4 linked regions of the Drosophila melanogaster genome follow. The protein of the gene in region 2 interacts with the protein of the main gene of each other region in a pairwise test. Each region holds a gene or a part of one and is shown on either strand. Other genes may lie near its edges.

What was found.
Region 1: the proteins of slow (region 2) and Mlp84B interact in a two-hybrid assay, tested with the Drosophila melanogaster proteins (one large-scale study listed by BioGRID).
Region 3: the proteins of slow (region 2) and dpr9 interact in a two-hybrid assay, tested with the Drosophila melanogaster proteins (one large-scale study listed by BioGRID).
Region 4: the proteins of slow (region 2) and CG6441 interact in a two-hybrid assay, tested with the Drosophila melanogaster proteins (one large-scale study listed by BioGRID).

The regions. Positions count from the first base shown.
Region 1 is NT_033777.3:7,112,309-7,119,367, forward strand, and holds Mlp84B (muscle LIM protein at 84B), read right to left. Parts: upstream 5,425-7,059; 5' UTR 5,343-5,424; intron 4,409-5,342; exon of another isoform or gene 4,344-4,408; intron 3,531-4,343; 5' UTR 3,452-3,530; coding exon 1,964-3,451; 3' UTR 542-1,963; downstream 1-541. Other genes in the region: Alh (alhambra), read right to left, coding at 6,650-6,740. UniProt on the Drosophila melanogaster protein: Plays a role in cell differentiation late in myogenesis. Transcription factor Mef2 is essential for expression.
Region 2 is NT_037436.4:4,382,438-4,387,487, reverse strand, and holds the start of slow (slowdown), read right to left. Parts: upstream 3,047-5,050; 5' UTR 2,861-3,046; exon of another isoform or gene 2,601-2,860; intron 1-2,600.
Region 3 is NT_033777.3:15,074,176-15,078,972, forward strand, and holds the start of dpr9 (defective proboscis extension response 9), read right to left. Parts: upstream 3,032-4,797; 5' UTR 2,861-3,031; intron 2,112-2,860; 5' UTR 1,955-2,111; intron 1-1,954. Other genes in the region: CG6974 (uncharacterized protein), read right to left, coding at 4,355-4,797.
Region 4 is NT_033779.5:7,472,857-7,477,452, reverse strand, and holds CG6441 (uncharacterized protein), read right to left. Parts: upstream 2,750-4,596; 5' UTR 2,547-2,749; coding exon 1,582-2,546; intron 1,522-1,581; coding exon 1,009-1,521; coding exon of another isoform or gene 1,005-1,008; exon of another isoform or gene 960-1,004; intron 875-959; coding exon 742-874; intron 680-741; coding exon 614-679; 3' UTR 501-613; downstream 1-500. Other genes in the region: Ziz (zizimin), read left to right, coding at 1-271, 328-474, 2,948-3,158, 3,217-3,505, 3,564-3,796, 4,254-4,342.

The sequences.
Region 1 (7,059 bases), on a different chromosome or scaffold from region 2:
TCAGCACAACCACATGTTCTCTATCTTAGCCATTATCATGTTCGATCCGTTATACAAATAGTCGCGGACTTCAGCAAGGCATAAATCTATTCGCGCCATTCAAAGCCAGAAATTGAACATTAATAACATACTAGAAAAGCCATATCGAATACGAGTAGAATACATCTCCAAGTATATTTAGAGATCAACATCAGCGGCGCAGTCCGCAAAAAATATTCTCACTGTTGTGGCTCGTCAATTCGGGTGTTTTTGAAGTGCCGTGTGTCATATGCGAAACAATTTCAAAACCAAAATCACTCGAAAATAGACGCTGACTCGGTAAGTCTATAAATATTCTCGCCAATGCGATACCAAAACTAACGTAAACACACCTGGCTGAAGGCGATTTATTTGATATTTGTGTCTGAAACAAAAAAAAATTATATTAAAACAAAAAATAATTTATTTAGTTTGGCCAACCCCTTGGCAACGTATTTTCGTGGTCAACGTCACGGAGCATAAAACCATACCATACCTATAGGATGTCGAATAAAATGAATAGAAATGTGAATAATGCGCGCAAGTGGGCGTGGGACGGAATCATTAAAATTTTGTTCCCAAGGGGTTATTTCGGGTGGGGGGTGATCCTAAAAGTGCATTAGCAATAAGAACTTTGCTCTAGGTGGGTGGGTGAGTAAAGCATTTATTACACAACATTCTCAGCAGGCACGTGTTATAATTATTATAATATAACTAGGGATTCCTCACAAGTATATATGCGAATAAATACAATCTCTTAAGTTCTTCTCTTGAGTGAGAGTTTTGAGTGCTGTGAAAAGCTTTCGGGTCAGCTGTGTGAGGCATATTGGCATCATATTTATATTTAGAAAACCATTTCAGTACGGTTATGGAACATTTCGATGTTTTTCTCGAGAGGCCACACACACACACAACCAAGGATTTATTCCTGTACGTATATGTAGGGAACGTTCTTTGTGCGTATGTTGAGCAATTATTTTTCACGATGTTTGTCGGCCGAACAAGCTATATATAGACCAGATGAGCTGGCTCAATCCGAACCGAACGATCCCGAAACAAACGGAATTGAACTCAACCCAACCACCCACCGGTCATTCCAATCAGATTGCCAACCAACCATTTAGATGCAGAAATCTCAGGTATGCACACCCAATTAAATCAATTAAAACTACGAAAACCATTTCGAAATCATTTTGTTTTCATGGAACCCACTGGGGCATATATTATTGGATGTTATGTGTGTGTGTGTGTGTATGCAGAACATGTACGCTGATGTATATATATATAAATAAATATTTTATATCTGCCATGGCTGGCATCCCAAACAGAATGCAAGAGATTAGATGGGTGAGAAATCATTCAAACATCATTATAAATAATCAGATTTCATAAGTATATCGTAAGAACTAAATCAGCTAAATATACAACATCATATCTTTCATCATTGTTCGTCGTAAGAGTATATTTATGTGTATAAAATTTTTCCATTTGCACAAAGTATGCTTTTGGGTAATTCGATTTGGAGCATAAGACATACTTGGCTGGTCTTCGAAAATAAATAGTTTAAGATACAAAAAAGTAATAACGACTTTGGCTCGCAGCAGTTTCACCTGCAGAAAGTTTTGCTTTTCTCGATGTGGTCAATGTCGTTTAGTTCGTTAGTCTGTGTTCGATGGTTAGTTTCGCTTTGAGTCGTAAGTTTTATGTTTTTGGCATTTATTCTTTTTTTCTTGTTTTCATATTAAACTTAATCTCACATAACCTAAAGAAAATTGAATTGCATTCAGTGCATCGTTGATCAAAAATCGTTGGAAGCAAAACGAAGACTAAGTTAGCTAATTTCAGGGATAGTTAGTTAAAACAGATTGGTCATTAGACAGATGCATCGGAACGGTTCACAGACATGGATGTGGGTTTCGATTGGATATACATAAAATAGGCTCGTTTAGAACGTTGTCAAAGCGCCCGCGCCCAGACCGTAGCCCACTCCCTTGGGTCCAAAATTGCGGCCGTAGCAGGCTCGGCAGTAGATATCGCCGTCGGGTCCATCGTTCAGGTTGGTCGAGTCCAGCGATTTGCGGCAATCCGAGCAGTAGAAGCACCTCTTGTGCCAGATCCTGGTCTTGCTGATCATCTGCTCGGCGGCGAACACGGCGAAACCGCAACGCGGGCAGCCGCCCGAAGTCTTGGGTCCGGCCAGAGGACGGCCATCTGGGAACTGGATGGTGCTCTCGCCACTGGTTGACACTAGAGTGGGGGCGTGGCCGTAACCAAAGCCCTTGGGGCCGAAGAGCTTGCCGTAGCAGGCGCGGCAGTGGATGTCGCCATCGGGTCCATCGCAGGCCAGGACCGAGTCCAATGGCCGGTGGCAGTCGGCGCAGTTGTAGCACTTCTTGTGCCACACCTTGCCCTTGGACAGCTGTTGCTCGGCGGCGAATACGGCTCCTCCGCACCGGGGACAGCCTTCGCCGTCACGGGCCTTAATTGACGTGGTGTCCGGGTTATAGAAGGGCCTGTTGGCGCTGATCTGATCCTCGGTCAAGCCATCGGTCTGCAGGAAACCAGAGCCGCATGCGAATCCATAGCCATGTGGTCCCCACTTCTTGCCGTAGCAGGTGCGGCAGTACACATCACGATCGGGACCATCACTGGCATTGATCGAGTCCAGAGTCTTGTGGCAATCCTTGCAGTTGAAGCACTTCTTGTGCCACTCCCGACCCTTGGAAAGCTTCTGCTCCGCTGCGTAGACCACACCGCCGCAACGTGGGCAACCCTCACCCGGACGGGCCTGGATCTTGTCCACATCAATGGCGGCACGGATTTGCGGTGCTCCGTCGTCGTGAGCATAGCAGTCGGACTGGAGAGCACCACCGCCCTGGCCATAACCATAGCCCTTGGGTCCAAACTTCTTGGCATAGCAGCCCTTGCAGTAGATGTTCTTGTCCGGAGCCTCGCAGCACAGGATCGAGTCCAGACCCTTCTTGCAGGTACCGCACTTGAAGCACTCCTTGTGCCAGCTGCGACCGCGGGCTAACATCTGTTCGGCGGCGTACACATAGCCACCGCAACGAGGACAGCCCTCACCTTCGGGGGCACGAGCAATAGCCCTGGGTTCCAGGCGGGCTCCATTCCTTACGGACGGCACATCGCCGTTCTCGCGCAGGAACTGTGACCCGTTGTCCATGGAGAGGGTGCCAGCTCCAGTGCCGAAGCCGTAACCTTTCGGCCCGAACTTGCGACCGTGGCACGTCTTGCAGTAGAGCTCGCGCTCGTGCTCTGTGCAGTTGGTGGAGTCCAGGGATTTGTTGCACATTCCGCACTTGAAGCAGTTCTTGTGGAATACATAGCCGCCAGCCAGACGCTCTTCGGCAGCGTAGACACTCTTGCCGCAGCGCGGACACTTGGGGGCCTCGATCGGTTGGAAGGAAGGCATTCTGTCTGTGTTTCGGTTTTTTTAACGCTATCAAAATGATCTACGCGAGTACAATTACTTTACTTATTAAGTTTATTATCTGAAATAGCAAAATAGAAGAACACATAGAGTCGATGGGATCGTGGCGTAAGTCCTGCTGGGAAATGCAGCAGAGTGGAAGCTTTGGTGGCGATGAAAGCGATGAGGTAAGCATCTGTCATTTTTGTATGTTAAATGGTTTCCAAATTATTCTAAGCCCAACTAGTTAATTCAAGCTAATCTACATGTTAACCTATTTGGACGATTAAGACGCTTGTTTTATCTTAAGTTTACAATGAACTATTACAAATTCAACTTGACAGTCGCGAATTTCTCCTCAATTTGCATTATGTAGATCATCTATCAAGATTCTTATCTGTCAGTCGAGACGTCATCGCCCGTGCCAGAAAATTACCCAACCGGACGTATGTATACGTAATTCATATTGAAGATTCCTATGTTAATGATCAGAAAATAACATCTTTCTCATGACAACAAAAAATAAAGGAGGAATTTTTCAAATCACAGAACACAGAGAAAAACATGAGCAATAAATGTGTATCTATCTATACAGAAAATGTTGTATAAAAATAACGCAGACAGGTAGATAGATTTGGGAAAAGCACACACAAAAAATAACTGTGGCAGATATATATATGTACATATCTGGGTGTTCTAAAACTGAGTCAGAGCTAAAGCACCACCATCAGATGAGCATCGTCCCTGGCCGGTAATCTGGTTATCTAGCGGTTGCGATGGATTAGTCAGGTGCTTTGCAATGGTCTTTTGCTGCGTGCAAAAAAATCGGTTAAGAGCTGGCGATATCCAACCGTTGGGTGTGAGTGTATTATAGCCAAGATAGAACGGAACCTACAACGCACTAAAACCACACACGGAAGCGCCGAGTACTGAACTGGAAGATTGCTCAAAGCAAACTAGTCTATATAATTGTGAGTGCACACGGCACGGCAACGCGGTCGACTTTTCGCCGCTGCCACTGAGTTTTCCTGCTCAGCACACCGAGTTGAGAAACTTAAGATGCGGCAACACGGAGCAGTTTTCCTTCGTTTTATTTCAGTTTTCATCAAATAACGCCAGAGAGTGGGATGGAAACATATTGGTATGCATCTGCGGTTTTTAAACTTTTTCGATTCTTCGAAAAAGTTTTTTATTCCATATCCTTCACTCGTTTTTTCTTGACCGTATCTCATTCTTGGATGTTTGCTAACTTTTGTGTATATTATATGCACATTTATCCCAGTGGGAGATTATCAAAGATGATCGAAAAGTTGCATATCATTGGAAACCTCAGGCATCTGGGAGTTTGTTTATATTCCCGACTAAATATAATACTTTTTGCATGCAATAAGATTATAAAACTCATCAAAATGTACGTGTTTTTTACGTCGAGTAAGGACTGTATCTTTAATTTTTCTCTATTCAAGGATAGTGACTATTCGATTTGATCTGATGAAAAGATGATCGATTTGTACTTGAATAAAACTCGATTGAAAAAAAAACTCCTCGCAAATAGTTCTCATTTTATTGAGTGAGACAGTTTCCGTAAAGTTTTTTCACACTCGAAAAAACGGAATCTATTAATAATAGTGTGTGGGAAAAATGCTTCCTGTGTGGAGCCATACATTCCTCCTCTCATTTGTGGGTCAAATTATGGTCCAAATTACGCACAAGTTCTAAATTTAAACGATCGCTTGACAAAACTGTATTTTCATCGCTTCGCGTTTGGTTTGTAGCAGAGCTTGAACCGATATTTTTTAGACAAGCACAACACAAAATATTGGAATTTACTGGGTTATGCGTGATTGGTTTTGGTTTTGGTTTTCGTTTTCCATTGACAAAAACTGATATTTACTTTTCGTTCGTAATAAAAAGGTTCGCAAGAGAAATATCCTTAATTTTAGTTTAGCTTCGATTAACAACGATTTTCGACTGATCGCGCTGAAAAATTTGTCAAGCGCTTTCAGTCTTTGTCTGCACACGGCACGAAGGCAACTTTGTCGCCAGAGAAAATGATAGGGATGACTATATAGCCCCAACAATAAATACATTAGCCATCCGAACAAGAATCCCAACAAATCACAAAATATCTGCTCTCACATATACAATATGCTAGTATACAAGAAAAATGTGCTTTCATAAATTGTATATACGGTCATTTTATAGCAGAATATTCCAGGTGATCGTGCTCATGACAAGGCGAAAAAGATGATGTTGGTATTTTATTGGACCAACAACATGGTTCAACTGTCTTGTTCAAAGCCACTGCCTGCCTGCCTTTCGGAACATTGGCACTTCAACATCAATAAATTAACATGCGCATTTGCATTTAATTAAAATTCGATATTTTGCCATGCATTTTTGGTTCAAAAGGAAATTAATGGGGCATGGGTACATCATTGAGCATCAATCAGATCGGCAAAATAGAACCAGACATGGCGGGGGCCAACTCGGCCAGAAAATACCTCTTAATATCATTACTAAGAATGATTTCATTTTGATATTAGTTCTAATGGTATGATTTTACCGATTATTTTAGTTTTGAAATCAAAGTAGTAGTAGTAAGTTTCTCAAATTTATAACAAACTAATTTAATATTTGATTTATTACAGTATTTCGATCGAAACACACACCATTTTAAAAAATGGATCGATCGAAAATTCCGAAGTTCAAGGGGTAGCATTGAAAAACACGGAATTTCTTAAAGACAAGAACGGGTGGGCAACACCTTTTGTATAATTAACGCGCACCTTCGGCAGAATTTCTCAAAACATTTTTAACATGCATTTGCAATTGCATTTCCACTTATAAGTATGATACAAAAATTGGCAAGGCGCCTGCGTTCAAAACTTTTGGCGAGTGAAACGAATATAGTAGTACTCTCTGTCCCACTCTTTAGGTTTGATCAGAGAAAAACTAAATGACAAGTTGTATACAAGTGTAAAAGATAATGGGAACCATCATTAATATAGCAACATTGTATCCAAAAAGAGAGAAAACACTTTAAGAGAATGTTTCGCAAAAATCACTCAAGAGATCCGAAACAAGTTTCCTTAAAAGTAAAAAAGCTTATATTAACTCAATATTTCGGAACGATAACTGAGTTGTTTATCATTCTATTAATAGTATGCTAAAAGATAAACAAAGAAAAAATCAACTTACCCTCTTGGAGCTCTTCTCGATTTCCTTCTCAAAATCTGTTAGAGGCGTCAGTGCAACTTGAACATCTTTGATATCATAGCGGGATATTAAGCTACAGAAACAACCGAAAAATATATTAGTGTGATTTTTTCTATACATTGTTTCAGTAGAAAAAGGTCTTATACGGGGTTATTTTAGTATTAGTATATTCTCTAATAAACGAAACGGATTCCAAAAGTTGCCTTTTTCAATGAAATTACAAAAACATATTTAAAAAGTCTGGTTTCTCAGTAACATTGGGCACTGTTTAATATACATTATGTTCTAATTATTACAATTTATTTAGAATAACAAAATAAAAGAGTTGTCTACACCGGGTGTTCGATAAATTAACAATTTTGCAAATCATAGATGTGCAACACAGTCCCATT
Region 2 (5,050 bases):
ATGTTAATTAAATGCCTCAGTCCGGCTCTTTCTTCGATTTTTTTTTTTAACATTTTCTTTTTTTTTGTGCAATTCCAAACAGCTGCCAGTTTAGCTTGCGTTTTTATTTATGTTTTGTGTAATCGGGGCCGCTCCTCAAGTTCTTATAAAGAGATAAACTAAAAGCTTAACGCCGCCTGCCGAGGAGAATCCCCAAACAGCCCAGCAATTGTTTGGTAACTCTGCAGCTTTTCTTTAATGGCCGCTCGAGGAAAATTCAAATTTTCCAATTTGTTGCTGTTGCAAACGCTTTTCAACGCTGCTTTTATTAACATTATCTAGACAGCCGAGATGGGCCGCAAAATGCCTTAGATCTCGGGAAAACTGCACTGCACCGTACGATCGATCGCACCCGGAGAATTGTGTGAGAAAATGGGGTGGGAAAAGGCGAAAGAAAAGCCACCCACTGTCGATATAATTTTCACGCTGCTCTCTGAGTTCAATAACCCAGTGCGATGGGAAATTATCGAATATATCTTATCTGACATATTGCCAAATATTTGCGTCGGGGTTACACATTTCATTCATTCCTTGGCTTTGTTTATTGTTCTGGCTGCCGGGCTCATCTTGATTTTTCCCACGAGACAACCAAGACAGCCATGACAGCCGTGATGGGTAGAAAAATCACGGCCAACAAAATACTCGCATGTGGTTTAATAGTGTGTGCTGTTTTGTGTTTCATTTGTTGATATTGTGTCGCTGTCTTTAATATTGCAAGATCATGACACATTTCCGCGGAGTTTGTATCTCGTTTACTTTCGACGTTGCCTCCCCACTATTTCATTGCGAATGTTTTTATTTTTTAACAAGATCAACAAAACGGCGGGGGGGGGGGGGGGGTATCGATCGCAATTTTTGTTTACACTTCACTTTGTTACTTTCAATCCAATTTAAGGAATGTTGTTGGCCTTTGTGGCTGCGTTTCTTCCCTAACAAAGTCGGAGATGAAAAGCGAAAACTATGCAACGTGTTCAACATCGACAGTTTGACATCTCAAAAGTCGCATGCCTCACCAACCCCCTTTAGCACACTGAGAAAAATATTGCACAATTTTAGATTTAATGGATTTATAATTACAGATACTGCTGAGTATAGCCTTCAATAATAATTTCATTTTATTTGATATCCTGTGACCATATTCCGTTTCTAATGGCCAATTACTCATTTGTGATCGATAACTGTGAGATACATGTACCTTTTTCCAGCAAGTTCAACTGTTTTTAACGCGAAAACTCATTTCAATAACAATTGCAGCGACCCAAAAAAGGCCAAAGGAAAAACTGCAACAGCAGAGCTCAATTTGCTGGCATGTCCAGTCTTTTGCTAATTGCTTTGCAGCTGCAAGGGGGCGGAGGCCACGCCCACACGTGCCCCGCAGACCCATTGCCCATATGAACAAATAGTATATATCCATATATATGTATGCATATAGCTATGGTTCATGTTGACCCGCGACCAAGCCGGACAAAAGTCATAAACCCAGTTACCGTTAGCTGCGTAATTTATGGAAATGACTTTGTCTAATTAGCAAAGTCGAGGAAAAACAAGAAAACCAACAACAAACTCCACCCCACTTTCCAGTGGCGTTAACCATAATAACATTTGTATAGACACTATGATACGCAGAAAGGCACGATCGCTTTCCACGGATCGTGCCCCAAACTTCGATTTCTGATTGCTCACCTGCCAAACGATATGTGTGAGAATGCAGAATGCACGTTGGGGCAAACAAAAAAAAAACGAAACTCATTTAGCCATATGTATGCATAATTGTTAGCCAAACTAGTCTAAACAATGGAAAGTATTGATACATCTATTTTTGATTTGTGTCGTTTTCCGCTTTGTCACATTATTTACACTAATTTTTGATGGCGATAACGTCACAAGATTTACATATTTATTTTGGTTGCATTCATGTCAGCAATAATGTTGGGCTATAAAATGTTCATTTCGATAGTGAAGAAAAATGGTTATATAAAATATATATATTTTAAACTTATCTAAAAGAGTAAAAATAAATTACAAGATTTCCGCAGAACAATCTTTGTTTACGCAAAAACGAAGCAATGAATTAATCCTTTATCAGATCATTGTTGAAAGAAATAAAATTTATTGAGCAATTTATTGCCATTTCGAAATAAATAATTTGCATTGAAGAAAACACGGAAACAAATTACACTGTCTTAAACACTTTTTATCAAGGTGCAAATTACCGTAGAAAATTACCAAGAAAATTATCACAAATTGTACATTGAAAACTACTCAGAATTATTGACAATTATTTAATAAAGACATTGTCTTGAAGTTCTCACGATAATTAATTCTTAGACCATTTATGGCATTGTTTGGCAGCCAAAGCGCATATGTAAATGGTAAGCCAACTTAGTTAGCCGCTCCACAAAAATGCAAATTACGTCCATAAGTGACATGTAACTCCTAGACAGGATAGGCAATGCGATTTTGAGCAAGATTAATGCACTAGGAAATGTCGCACCGCGCTTTGACACACATTCAAATCATAAGTAATTGCAATTAATTAAAGCTATTTGCATGTGACTTACACACGGCGAACAAATTCCAACTGACCCAGCCAGTGTTCAGAGAAAAACAGAGATAATCTTGCCCAGATTTAAAATTCCTCTTTATAGAGATGACCCGAAACACGCGCGAATAAATCAAAGCACAATTATGCCAAATTTGCAATCACAAACAATAAATTGAATTGAGTTTTCGCGCTGACATTAAGCAGATACGCGGCACTGTGCCTTTTTTGTACAATAAAATATTTTAATGGCCGTGAATGGGCCTTTTCGAAACATACTATATATATATATTTGTGAAATATATACGGCTCTTGTGATTTTCCGGATTCTGCGTTAGCCGCTTCCGTATGCCAGGCACAAAAACCGAGCGAACTGGCTGCGATCTTTGAGATACAAATTTCCAGCTGGCGCGGCGGAGCTAACGAAATCCAAACCGATCGCTTAGAAGTCCCGAGACGAACTGAAAATGCACAGCCGAAACCGAAAGTCCAGTTAACGATCGGCGATCGACGGCGCTGCCAGTGCAGTCGGAAAGTGGAGCCAAAAGTATATAGATTGTATACTCTGAACACTCCGAACATCGGTAAATATTTAGTTATTTTCTTAAACATTGATTCATTCATATATCAGTAGCACACTTTACTTTTTGTTTACTTCTTTGGAATCGGGATAACTGTAGATGCCGTAGAAAATACGTCGAGTTTTCTGAAATCTACATATATATTTGTTTTTAAAAATATCTTTACCTGATATTTTAGCAAAATTTTGAAAAGGGTAAATTTCTCTAAAATAAGAAGCCACACAAACTTCTACAAATATGTAAGATTTTACTACTCAATTTATCTTGCTAAATATCAGTGGAATTTTAATATGTTTCTCAGGTGTATTCTTATTAGTCTGTATATAATCTGTATATATTTTTTTACAGCTAGAAATAGCCAGCTGGTCTGCACTGTCAGACCAGTCGAAGCCCATGTTCGGTGCACATTGGCTGGTTCGCTCAAACGAAATTGGACCGATGGGGGCACAAGTTGGCTTCCTTTGTTCGATGCAACTGTGGAGCGGATGAATTCGCCAGGCGGAAGAACTCTTTGTGGTGGGGCTGAGGGGCGCAGTGGTGGGTGGTGGGCGGCGCAGTGGGCAGGTATGCCCTCGGCTGGTCGTTGGCTGGTTTTTGAGTGCGTTACAGCTGTTTTGTTTATAGGAGGATCATCTCTGCACTCTCTGCACAGTTCAAACTATTTGGAAGTTGCGGTTTGTGCTTTTTATGGTCCGCCGTTGTTGTTCTTGCGGCCACGGCTGCTTTTGTTGCATCTTCTTCGGTCGGTGGCAAGTTGTTAAGTTAAATATTTACCCACCGCTGCCGGGCAGCCAGTTTAGGCCACGGCTCGCTGATCTTTCACATCGAGAATCCGAGTCCCAGAGCGAAGAAGAACTCGTTTCCAGCCCTTCTGTCCATATCGGGTGCTGGATCTGTCGTTGTCATCATAAGAGTGCTACTGTCAACCACACTCGAAAAATGCCACTAAGTCTAGATTTAATCAAAAATTCATGGGTTAAACATGATAAAGGTTTTAAATGTACTTTAATTCATGTCCTAAGTAAGTCTGTTATATTATATATGTACAGTACTTTCCTTAAGCATAATCACTTTTGTATATAACTTTTTTGATTGTGCTAGATACAATAGTTTCGCCAAGTGCATTGCCACATACTATTAGCCACTGGCAACAGAATAGCTGCCCACTGTCTAAATGCTGAGCACATTGGACATGTCAAAAGGATTTGCGCCTGCGCTGTGGAACATCCAGCATTCAGCATTCGTCCGTGCGAATCCATCCCATAAACTGGTTGCACATTCCCTGGCCAACAGAATGGTCATAAATCGAACAATGTGCCAGCCATTGACAGTTCGCTTAGCTGCACAAAGGTACTACGGTCTTCTCTTAATATTATGTGTGTGTTGCTTCGGTTTCCTCGCCGCCGACAATCACAATTTATTGGGCTATTAGCTGCCACTTGAGTGGGGACTTTGGGTTTGGGGAACACCCACGCCGCGTTCCCAAATCGAATTCAAATAAAGCATAAAAGCATAAGAGCTGAGATAACAAAGCCGGGTACCCCGCTCAGACAATTAACTGATAACAATTCATTAGCATTTCGTGTGGGTTGCCCATCGCCTTCGTCATAATCACGATCTTTTTCATCAGTTGCAGCAGCTCTGCATTGGAGTTTAGGTAATTTGACAGCCATTTGATGACCGACAACATGTGGCCAAAGTGTATCTTCTTAACTGGTTTAGGTGGGAAAGCATAATGGATTCGATTTTGTTACAGGCAATATATTTTTAATGAGAAGTATGAAAGACAAGCCATGCTTAAAAGGTTTACTAAGGTTAAGAACCATAACTTCGTTACGATTGTTATGTATTTAGCATTTTATTTGAAATTAACATGTTATTGCTCGCA
Region 3 (4,797 bases), on a different chromosome or scaffold from region 2:
ATGCATTGACATTTAAAGCGACAGCTGTCAGGTCAAACAAAAGTGGAACACGACCACAGGACCTTCCTTTTAACCGATTAATCAAATATGCATGACCAGAGTAATTATGTTTGATTAATACACCCATACGTACGCATATATACATATACATATATATTTCTTTTAATTATGTCTTCGCTCGGCTGCAATTGTGTGCGATTGCCATCAATTATATTTTTGCTTAACAATTTTCTCCTTTTGTTTGCTTTTGATTTCCTGCTATTTATCAAACATTTGCATAATATTTCATTCATTCAAAATTGTACGCTCAAAGAGTTTCACAAGTAAACAAAAGGGTATTCATAAAAATTTAAATCAAGTAAATATGTCAATGCCAAAACAAATATAATGGACGCGTTTTGTGTTGCACTTCCATTGCATTTTCAACTTTATTGTGCCATTTAAAAAAATATTGCAACAATTGTAAGCTGATTAAATGGGAAAATATATTCAGGTCATAGAGTCATAAGCAAGTTTAATCAGCTACAGTTACTTTTTGTATCAATCCAATTCGATGAATTGTAGGAAACCATGCACATAAAATACAATTTTTTGCTTATAATTTGGCTCAATATTATAACCCTTTTTTTTCTAACGAAAGAAGGGTTATTAATGTCGTTCTGAAATTCTATAAGCTCAACCGAAATATTTTATAGAGTAACCAAACAGCTTTTAAAGCCTATTTTCTGTTCGGCCTACTTCACTTATTTGTATCTTTCGGTTACTCGCATCTTAAAGCAAGCTTATGAATTTCTTTTCTGTGTGACTTAAGCTGATTTGGGCCAGACAATGAATAGGGAAAGTCAAGGCAAAAAAAAAAAAGGTTAAGTACAATAAAAATAATTTATGTATTTGGGCAACTTTCTGACGCGCAAAGTTCCATAATAAGTGACCTTGCTGAAGCAGCGTGTAAATAAAATGTTGTTTTATTTTCTTAGAAAATGTCTAGCATAAAATGGCAATCTTGTCGGGCGGAAAGTCTTAGTTACCTTTTCCCTGAGCTCACAGGTAATGGTGTTGGGAAAGTGGTCAAAGGTGTAGCATCTAAGCATATTTTCTAAGGCAATCTCAGTAATGGAAATTTGTGGTGGATGCCACAGAAATATGTGCCACATGAGTGGAAAGCTACGACTCTTAGTAAAACTGAAAACGAAGGCATTTCACGTGACCTATTTAAATGTAAGCCTTACCCATCGCGAATTTATGGTTCTTAGCAATAATGTTTCATTATAAATAATGGATCATTAGCTAATTAATTTCAAGAACTTAAAAGAGTTTAAATAGGCTTATTAGTATGTTTCCGAAGAACAAAATTTCAGTTCGTAGTAACTGAATCAGGTTTATGTTCAGTTGCCTGATAAAATTTTAATTAACCAACAAGTAGCTCTCAAATACTTATAACACTTATAATATTCCGTTTGTATATTAATTAAAAATAGTCATTATTATTTATAACACCTTTCCATCAGTGAGTCTTAATATAAGCTTTTAGGAGCATAAATTTGGTGTCCTTCCCCCACAACATTTAATAAAATAAGTTGATTGGAATACCACCCACCTGTATGTTTAGGCACGTGTGTGCCCAGAGAAATTCTTGGCATTTTCATAATTAAATTGAGCTAACAATCCAAGCTCCTCCCACCGGCAACATTTTTTCCTGAACAACTTCTAACCACAGCAAAGAGAAACAGCGAAAAAAAATATCACAATAAATAAAAATGTAACCGTACCACCCGTTGGCTTGGCTTTTCCGCCACTGGGAAAACCAACGCACCACCCAAACTCAAACAATGACACATTGGTTGATATGTGTTTTTGTTTTTTTTTTTTTTTTGTAAGGAAATACATGATTATTGGTGTTAACTAGTTAATGAAATTATTGGATAATTGGCTCAATAAAATTAAAAGGGCTCACCTTTGCTGCGCTGCTGTTGTCCTTTGATCCTGTTTTGTTGCAAATTTTTCGATGTTTGGGTTTTTGATAAAACTCAAAAGTTTCGGTACCGAATCTTTATGAACCTTGGAATTTTCGCAGTGCTAATTTTCACTTTTGTTTTTCAATTTTTTATCATCTAAATAAAGGGACTTTAATGTTTGCTTTATCTCAACCCATCAAGGCCTGTGAACTCATTTTATATGCCCCCTTTTTTTCATGTGTTGAATATCTCAGCCGTGTGATTCCCGTATTTAAACCATTTCTCGCCCTTTTTCCCATTTTATGCAAATATTCCCGGTTAAGCGGAATGCGACCCTAATTTATGAGCCCCAAAGGGAAGGCGAAAGAAAAAAGTTAAAAAGCAAAAGTTCAGACGAGGGAAAATCGCAACATTTTCCGAGAAATTTTAAAAGGAAACCCCAAAGTATTTCTTATAATTATTTCTAAAATTCTCGGACCGCGTTAAGAGATATACGTATTCCTGGACGACCTTGGCGGTCTTAAAAAACAAAACAGCACGCGAAGATGAATAACATTTTTTGTGTGAGTTGGCTGTATGTGCAACGTGCAACGAGTGCAACGTTAATATGCCACAGCCGCCGTGTGGCCTTGATAGGTAAGAATTGAGGTGAAGGATCAGTTGGGGCAGGTTCGGTTTTTAGTTTTAGTCTGGCTTAGTATTTTAGTTTGGTACTCGAATATTCAAGGATCGCTGGCACTCTTGCACACTTTATTTTGGGATATTCGTTTCACTTAAGTGTTGCATACTTGATTTTGCACACTGGCACGCAGGTCTAGATTTTCATTTTTCCGTAGATTTCTTCATATATTTCGTTGCTTTCACATTGCGTGCGTATATTTCACATTGGCTCATTTATTATTTACCTTTATGGCACACTGGACAACTTTTACTTTCGACTAGCGCACCCGTGTCCGTGTGAGTAAGCCCACTTGTGCGTGTGTGAGTGGCGTATTGAGGTTGTCCTCCGAACAGGACCTTCCACCGCTTTTCACCGTGAGAACGAACCGAACGATACGACTGCACTGAATACACTGAAAGCCACACGAACGGCGTCGGCTTGAAAAGCCAGGCGACCAGCCAAAGCTCCCATTTTCCTCTTCCCCTTTTTCGGCGAGAGAGCGAGCTTTTCCGCCTAGAACAGTGGGCCAAAATGTATTCATCCTGCCAGCTCACTTCCAGTCGGTCTTCACTCTCACCGATGGCACTTTCGAACTTCCCGAAACATGTGGAGTCTCTTTGATATCCGGCTCTCTTAAGGCAAGCATTTAATGGCCATCTGTTGGCATCCTTACGAAGCCACAACTCTTTGCCCCGCTTTGCAGAACTCAACACTTGCCAATAGTGCTATTTTGTACCACTCAAAAGGGTAAACTACAGCGTTTATTCTTTTGTTTGTTATTTATATTCTCCTTTAAGCAAACATTTACACATTCGTTGTATGTTGTTGCTAAATTATTAGTGGAGATACAGGAATACTCTCTTACTACCATGCGGCACATTTATTAGCTTTTATTGGTTTGTTTTCTGACAGTTTTCTTTAAAGGTCAAAGCTATTAAATAATATTCGTCACATTTCAGTAAATATTATTTCTATCTGGGCATATAAGATAATTCATGTCAAAATAATTGGATTCTTTATAGCAAAGATATATTCTTTAAATTTAAGCAGATGAAAATTTCTTCTTGCTTGGTTGATTCTTTAACTCGTACAATTCGATTTTTGCAAAGCTGTCAGGGATTTAAAAAGGTTATTTAAATTCCGCAATTGCTATCCATGAAATGGTATCCTGATCCAAAGTGGGTGGTTACTGGCCAGGGGAGTGAGAGACTTCTAATAGGCAGCTCCAGACACTCGGCCTTCTTAAGCACTTAGTGCACATTAAGTGCCAGGGATTCGGATTGTTTGCTGCCCAGTCGTTTGGACTCATGCCCAATCCACGGCAGACCCCATTCAGCATTGAGAAGCCCCGCTTTCTTCCCCAACTGCTCCTTAGTCTGCTTCAAAGTTAACTGACACTTACACTTGCACTTCTGTGAAATCAAATGCATTCGCCTTGGGCTTGGATTTGGATTTCCTTTATGTTCGAGCGGGGCTACCCATTTTCAAGAGGCTGGAAAAACGTTTTTCCAGTTAACGGACACTGAATGATTGGGTAGCATTAAACGGGTAGCACTTTTCGGGTGGGTGGGGCTTAAATGACTTAGTGATAGACTTAAATGAAAAGCCATAAAAGATTGAAAAACCATGCAATCGGTCTGAAAGTTTGCATATTAAACCATTCCATTTAAACACATCCACTTTAGAACGCAACATATTTATTAACCAATCCTAGTCCTCGCAGAATTCTTCCTCCACTCTAGCACTTGTACATCAAACGAATTTTGGTCCAATCCCCTTCGGAAGGTCCTCGCACCTGACCCATTTCCCTCTCCACAGCCTTACCACCGATTAGGGCACGAATTGTTGGCTTTGAGGGATCCTTGGCGAAGGCGTTCTTCGAATAGTGCATAACGCTCTCGTAATCGTATGGAACATTGAAGGTGGTTGTCTGATCCATGGCCATGAACTGCGACCAGTATTTCCTCGGGATATTGTCGTAGTCGATTTGCACGTACTCATCGCGATCGGGACGACTCTGCTCGTGGAAAAGGCCCAGCAGGTGAAGGGTTTCGTGTTGAATTACAGCCGGCATAGTGAGGCATTTCTCGTTAAGGACAACTTCGTGCGGACCAAAGGACAGAGGTTGATAGCCCACTCGAGTGCCACACATATTGGGCGACTTCTTGAAGGACACATATC
Region 4 (4,596 bases), on a different chromosome or scaffold from region 2:
GGATGCCGGTGCTCAGGATTCCCAGTACACCGAACAAATGCTACTGGAGCAGCTTAAGCTATGTGCTGACTTCTTGGATCGCGCTGAAAGATTTGAGTGCCTTGGAGAGCTCTACAAACTCATCCTGCCCATGTACGAAAGAGATCGTAGTTACCAGGACCTGGCACACTGCTATGAGCATCTCACGCAAGCCTATAATAAAATAGTTGAAGTGAATCGGTCAGGAAAGAGAATGTTGGGTCGCTTTTACCGTGTTGTATTTTATGGATTAGTGAGTAATCTACAGAATACCCTTAAAATTAATATTAAATTTAATGCTATTTTTAGATGTACTTTGAAGAAGATCATGCCATCGAGTTTGTGTACAAGGAGCCCAAGCTAACATCACTCAGCGAAATCTCTGAGCGACTTGCCAAACAATACAAAGAAAAGTTTGGAGCCGATGTAGTTAAGATGATCATGGACTCATCACCGGTAAGTATAAAAATTACACTTTCTTTAAATTTTTCCCAGTCTTGGTTTCAATTTTAATTTTAACATAACCTAGGTATTTTTGGATTGGAAAAACTAATTTTTGAAAGGGAAGCAACAAATCCATATAACTTATTGCAAATCACTTGAAGAGATATTCGTTGTATAGCAGATCCGAATCACTGTCGGCGCGCATCAAACTCATGCGCTACAATGGAGTATATATATATATTATATTATTTGTGAAATTGGAGTTGCGAGAGGGTTTACCCGCTTGACCTCGGACTGTCGCATCATTGAGGCGTTTGTGCTTCTTGGCATCATTCGCTGTGGGTTGCCATTGGTTTGCTTTGGATTAGACATGGCAATCCTGCTGGCCGTAGACATTTTTCCTGACTTGCAACTAAAGATATAAAGGAATAGAAAATATAAAATAGACAGTTTACAGGCACATAATAATAGACTATTAAAAGTTCTTCTTTCAAGGTAGTTTGAAGTAGATCTGTAAGCATTTAATGATCACAAATTTTAACTCACATATGATTTAACTTGGGTTTTTGTACGTTTGTACCAGATTTTCCTAGTTTTGTATCGCGACCTGTTGAAAGTCGTTGCGAACTGCCAGATGGCTGGTAAATTTTTGATTTTGCTTCAGTCAACCTATTTTGCTTGCGGGCAGCCCCGGTTGGGCACGAATCCATTTGCAGCTTTCGAGGGGCAGCCGATCCAGCTTGGTGGTGGCAACCAACTGCAATAGTCCGAAAATGTGAAGTCGTGGGTGAGCCCTTTGACGGCTGCATCATTGAACGGACTGCCCTGTTATTGTAGCCACTCTGTTGACCACTAGATCCTGCCCCACGAGCCGAGCATTTGGCTTTGGCTGTTTTGTACACCCGAGGAAAGGTTGTCGGCACACTAGTAGTTACCACGGTCTTGGGCTTCGTGGTAGATGGTAAATCCAACTCGAACTCATCTACCTCCATAGCTTCAATTTTTTGTTGATTTTCACTCAGTTCGTTGACCAACTGGCATCCCTGAGAGTCTTCGTATCTAAAAATATAAATCACAATAATTGTTGTATTCCCTTCACTTAACTTAAGACCCACCCACCTGTAAAGCTTTCCCCTCAAATATTCATTAGAAATAGATGGATGTTGACCTCCATTCGCGGTCAGTTCACAACCGTTGAAACTGGATTCGTCATCTCCTCTATAAGCCTTGGCCTCTACATTAGATTCCATTTCGTTCTTGGACATGCAAAGGGTTATACTAGATGACTGTGCCGTGGGTGGAGGGACCACTGTGGAGGGGCGGTTAACCTGGATCTGATCTCGGCTTACGATCAAACCCAGCCTGTGGCACAGCTCCTTAAAGGCTTTGTGAGAAACTATGTCTTGGTAGCGAGTTGATTCCGTAAAGGTGAAAAATTTCTCAAAAGCCTTTATGCACTCGATTTGGTTTTCGATTTCCAGCTCCGTATAGCTGCGATTTGAGCACAGGGTGCATCTGGGACACACGGATCCATCGCCACCGTATTCATACTTCTCGTTCAAAAGATCGTTGACCCGGATGAGGAATTGGGCAATTAGAACGGTCTCAGGTCTGTTCGCCAACTTCGCCTGATCGCCCACAGCCAGCTGGAGGCACTGTTTACTGTGGTTTACTAGAGTATTTCGGTCCAAAGGCTGCATCTGATCGTGCTCTTTGGTGGTGAAAGTCATACTAAGACCTTGTCCTCCTGGTAATACACCAACCGCGATCTCTTCCAGAGGCATTTGCTCGTCTCCCAGTTGACTTAGGGTGTCAAAGATCTGGCGCTCGAGAAAAATCCCATTTTCAACACGATTCACGGCATCACCAACGACCTCGGGACGCAGCAATGTTGTAGTTGAGGTCGCCTCCGTTTTGGTCGATGGACTTGGAGGCTCGGATTTCTGGCGAAAAGATGGCACGAATTCCACTGCGTTCGGATTTAGCGAGTACTCCCTCCTACATGGGATTGGTATCTGCATCTGCGGCATCTGGACCAATCCCAGACCCATCGCACGAGCCGGGAACTCAAAGAGCTGCTCCATAAGGGAACGGACAATGTATTGTGAAATAGTTACCGTATGTCCGACAATCTGATGAACTTATGGTTTGTGCCAAAAGAAGGAACTCGATCTCTACAAAATTTTGGATATTTTTGCGGTTCTAGTGTGCGGATTGTGGTAGTTGTATAAAAATAACAAACAATTTACTAGTACCTAGTAAAGTTGCTGAGCTATTTGAACCAAATCTGTTGAAGGTGGGAAGTATTCTGAAACAAACTTCATTCTGATATTTGCTGGAGGGACGACTTGATCTCGAAGTTACTAGTGTATGTCCACCATTGATTGCATTATTATTGCATTATATTATTATTTATTATTATTTATAGACGATTTTTTAAGACAAACAATTAAGTATTATAAAATTTTACAACTCATTTTTTCAGGTTAAAGTAGACGAACTAGATGCCAAACTTGCCTACATACAGGTCACCCATGTGATTCCTTTCTTCTCCAAGGACGAGCTAGACCAAAGGCTAAATGAATTCGAGCAGAATCATGATGTGGATACTTTTATGTACGAGACTCCGTTCACCAAATCGGGTGCAGCCCGTGGCAGCGTAGAAGAACAATGGAAACGCAAGACGGTTATAAAAAGTATGTAAAAACCGTCTTTAATTTCATTTGTACCATATTAAAGCATCAATTATTGCAGCTCAATACTCCTTCCCATATGTTCTTAAACGTATACCCGTCAAATCCCGTGAAATCATAGAACTGAGCCCCATTGAGGTGGCCATCGATGAAATGCAATCCAAGGTTTCAGAGCTGGAGGAGATCATACTCCCACCGGCCGATGTGAAGAAGTTGCAGCTGCGTCTGCAGGGAAGTGTGGCGGTGACTGTAAATGCTGGTCCTTTGGCCTACGCTCATGCCTTTCTCGATGCAAAGGTGGTTAACAACTTCTCAATGGATCGCGTCGGAGATCTCAAGGATGTTTTTCGGTATGCATTTCTAGTGACTAGTGCTTTACGTTTATTAATTGTGGTCTCTTTCTTGCAGCGACTTCATTGTGGTGTGTCAGAAGGCCCTGTTCCTCAACGAGCGGATCATCAGCGCTGACCAGAAGGAGTACCATCATGTGCTCAAGGAGAACTACGAGAAGCTGTGCCAGGCGCTCAGTGAGTTGCTGGACGACGAGTCCTTCCAGCCGCTCGGCGACGATGCCGACAGCATAAACCAGCGCAATAGCATGGCTTTGTTCAATGCGATCAGTGGCGCCTCCCATAACTCAAGTACTGCTTAAGTCCAACGAAATCATAATAAGATATCAAAATTCTGAAACTCAGTCACCCACACGCACGGCTAACCAGAAACCAAACCGATTGTTGAAGTATTCAAATAACACGAGCCCGATACGTAGGCGTAGAGATTGTAATGCGTTATCGTAACCACAACGTAGTCATAACATAGGCTCTCTTGGTGTTCCTTTGTTTGAAGTTGTCGTTGAATTTGAAATTGTCTTGCGGCAGGTAAAGCTCGATTTTGGGCTTAATGGTTTGCGCCTCGGCTGAGGAAATCCCCATGTGACTAACACCACAAAAAACATAAACAATCCAAATTTGGTGGCTTTTAATCCGAACCGAAACTAACCGTAAGCGCTTTCTGACAAAATTCGGCTAATCTAACTAAATGTTCTGTGACATTTATTAACGAGTTTGTATTAACGAGTTTGTAATTCTCCCGTTTTAGGACCGTATTTTGTTGATCAAAATACCAGCAACAGCACCCACCACCACAGTTCCCACATAAACACACAGAACTCCACACACCATTCATAACCGATAACCGAACAATATATTCTGTGCTAAACGACCAGTTCCATAAGTTCCAGTTAACCGATATTACATATTACTTGTTAATTTGACTATGCTTAAGCGACTATGATTTAGATTCCCACTTTATTGTTGTTAGATTTTTATGTTGGACAATTATAATTACAAAAAATATGTGTACATTTTTTCATAGCATGCAAGAAATCGAGAGGAGCCTGAAAATAGTTTTAAATTTAGGCTTAAAACTTGTATATTATTAT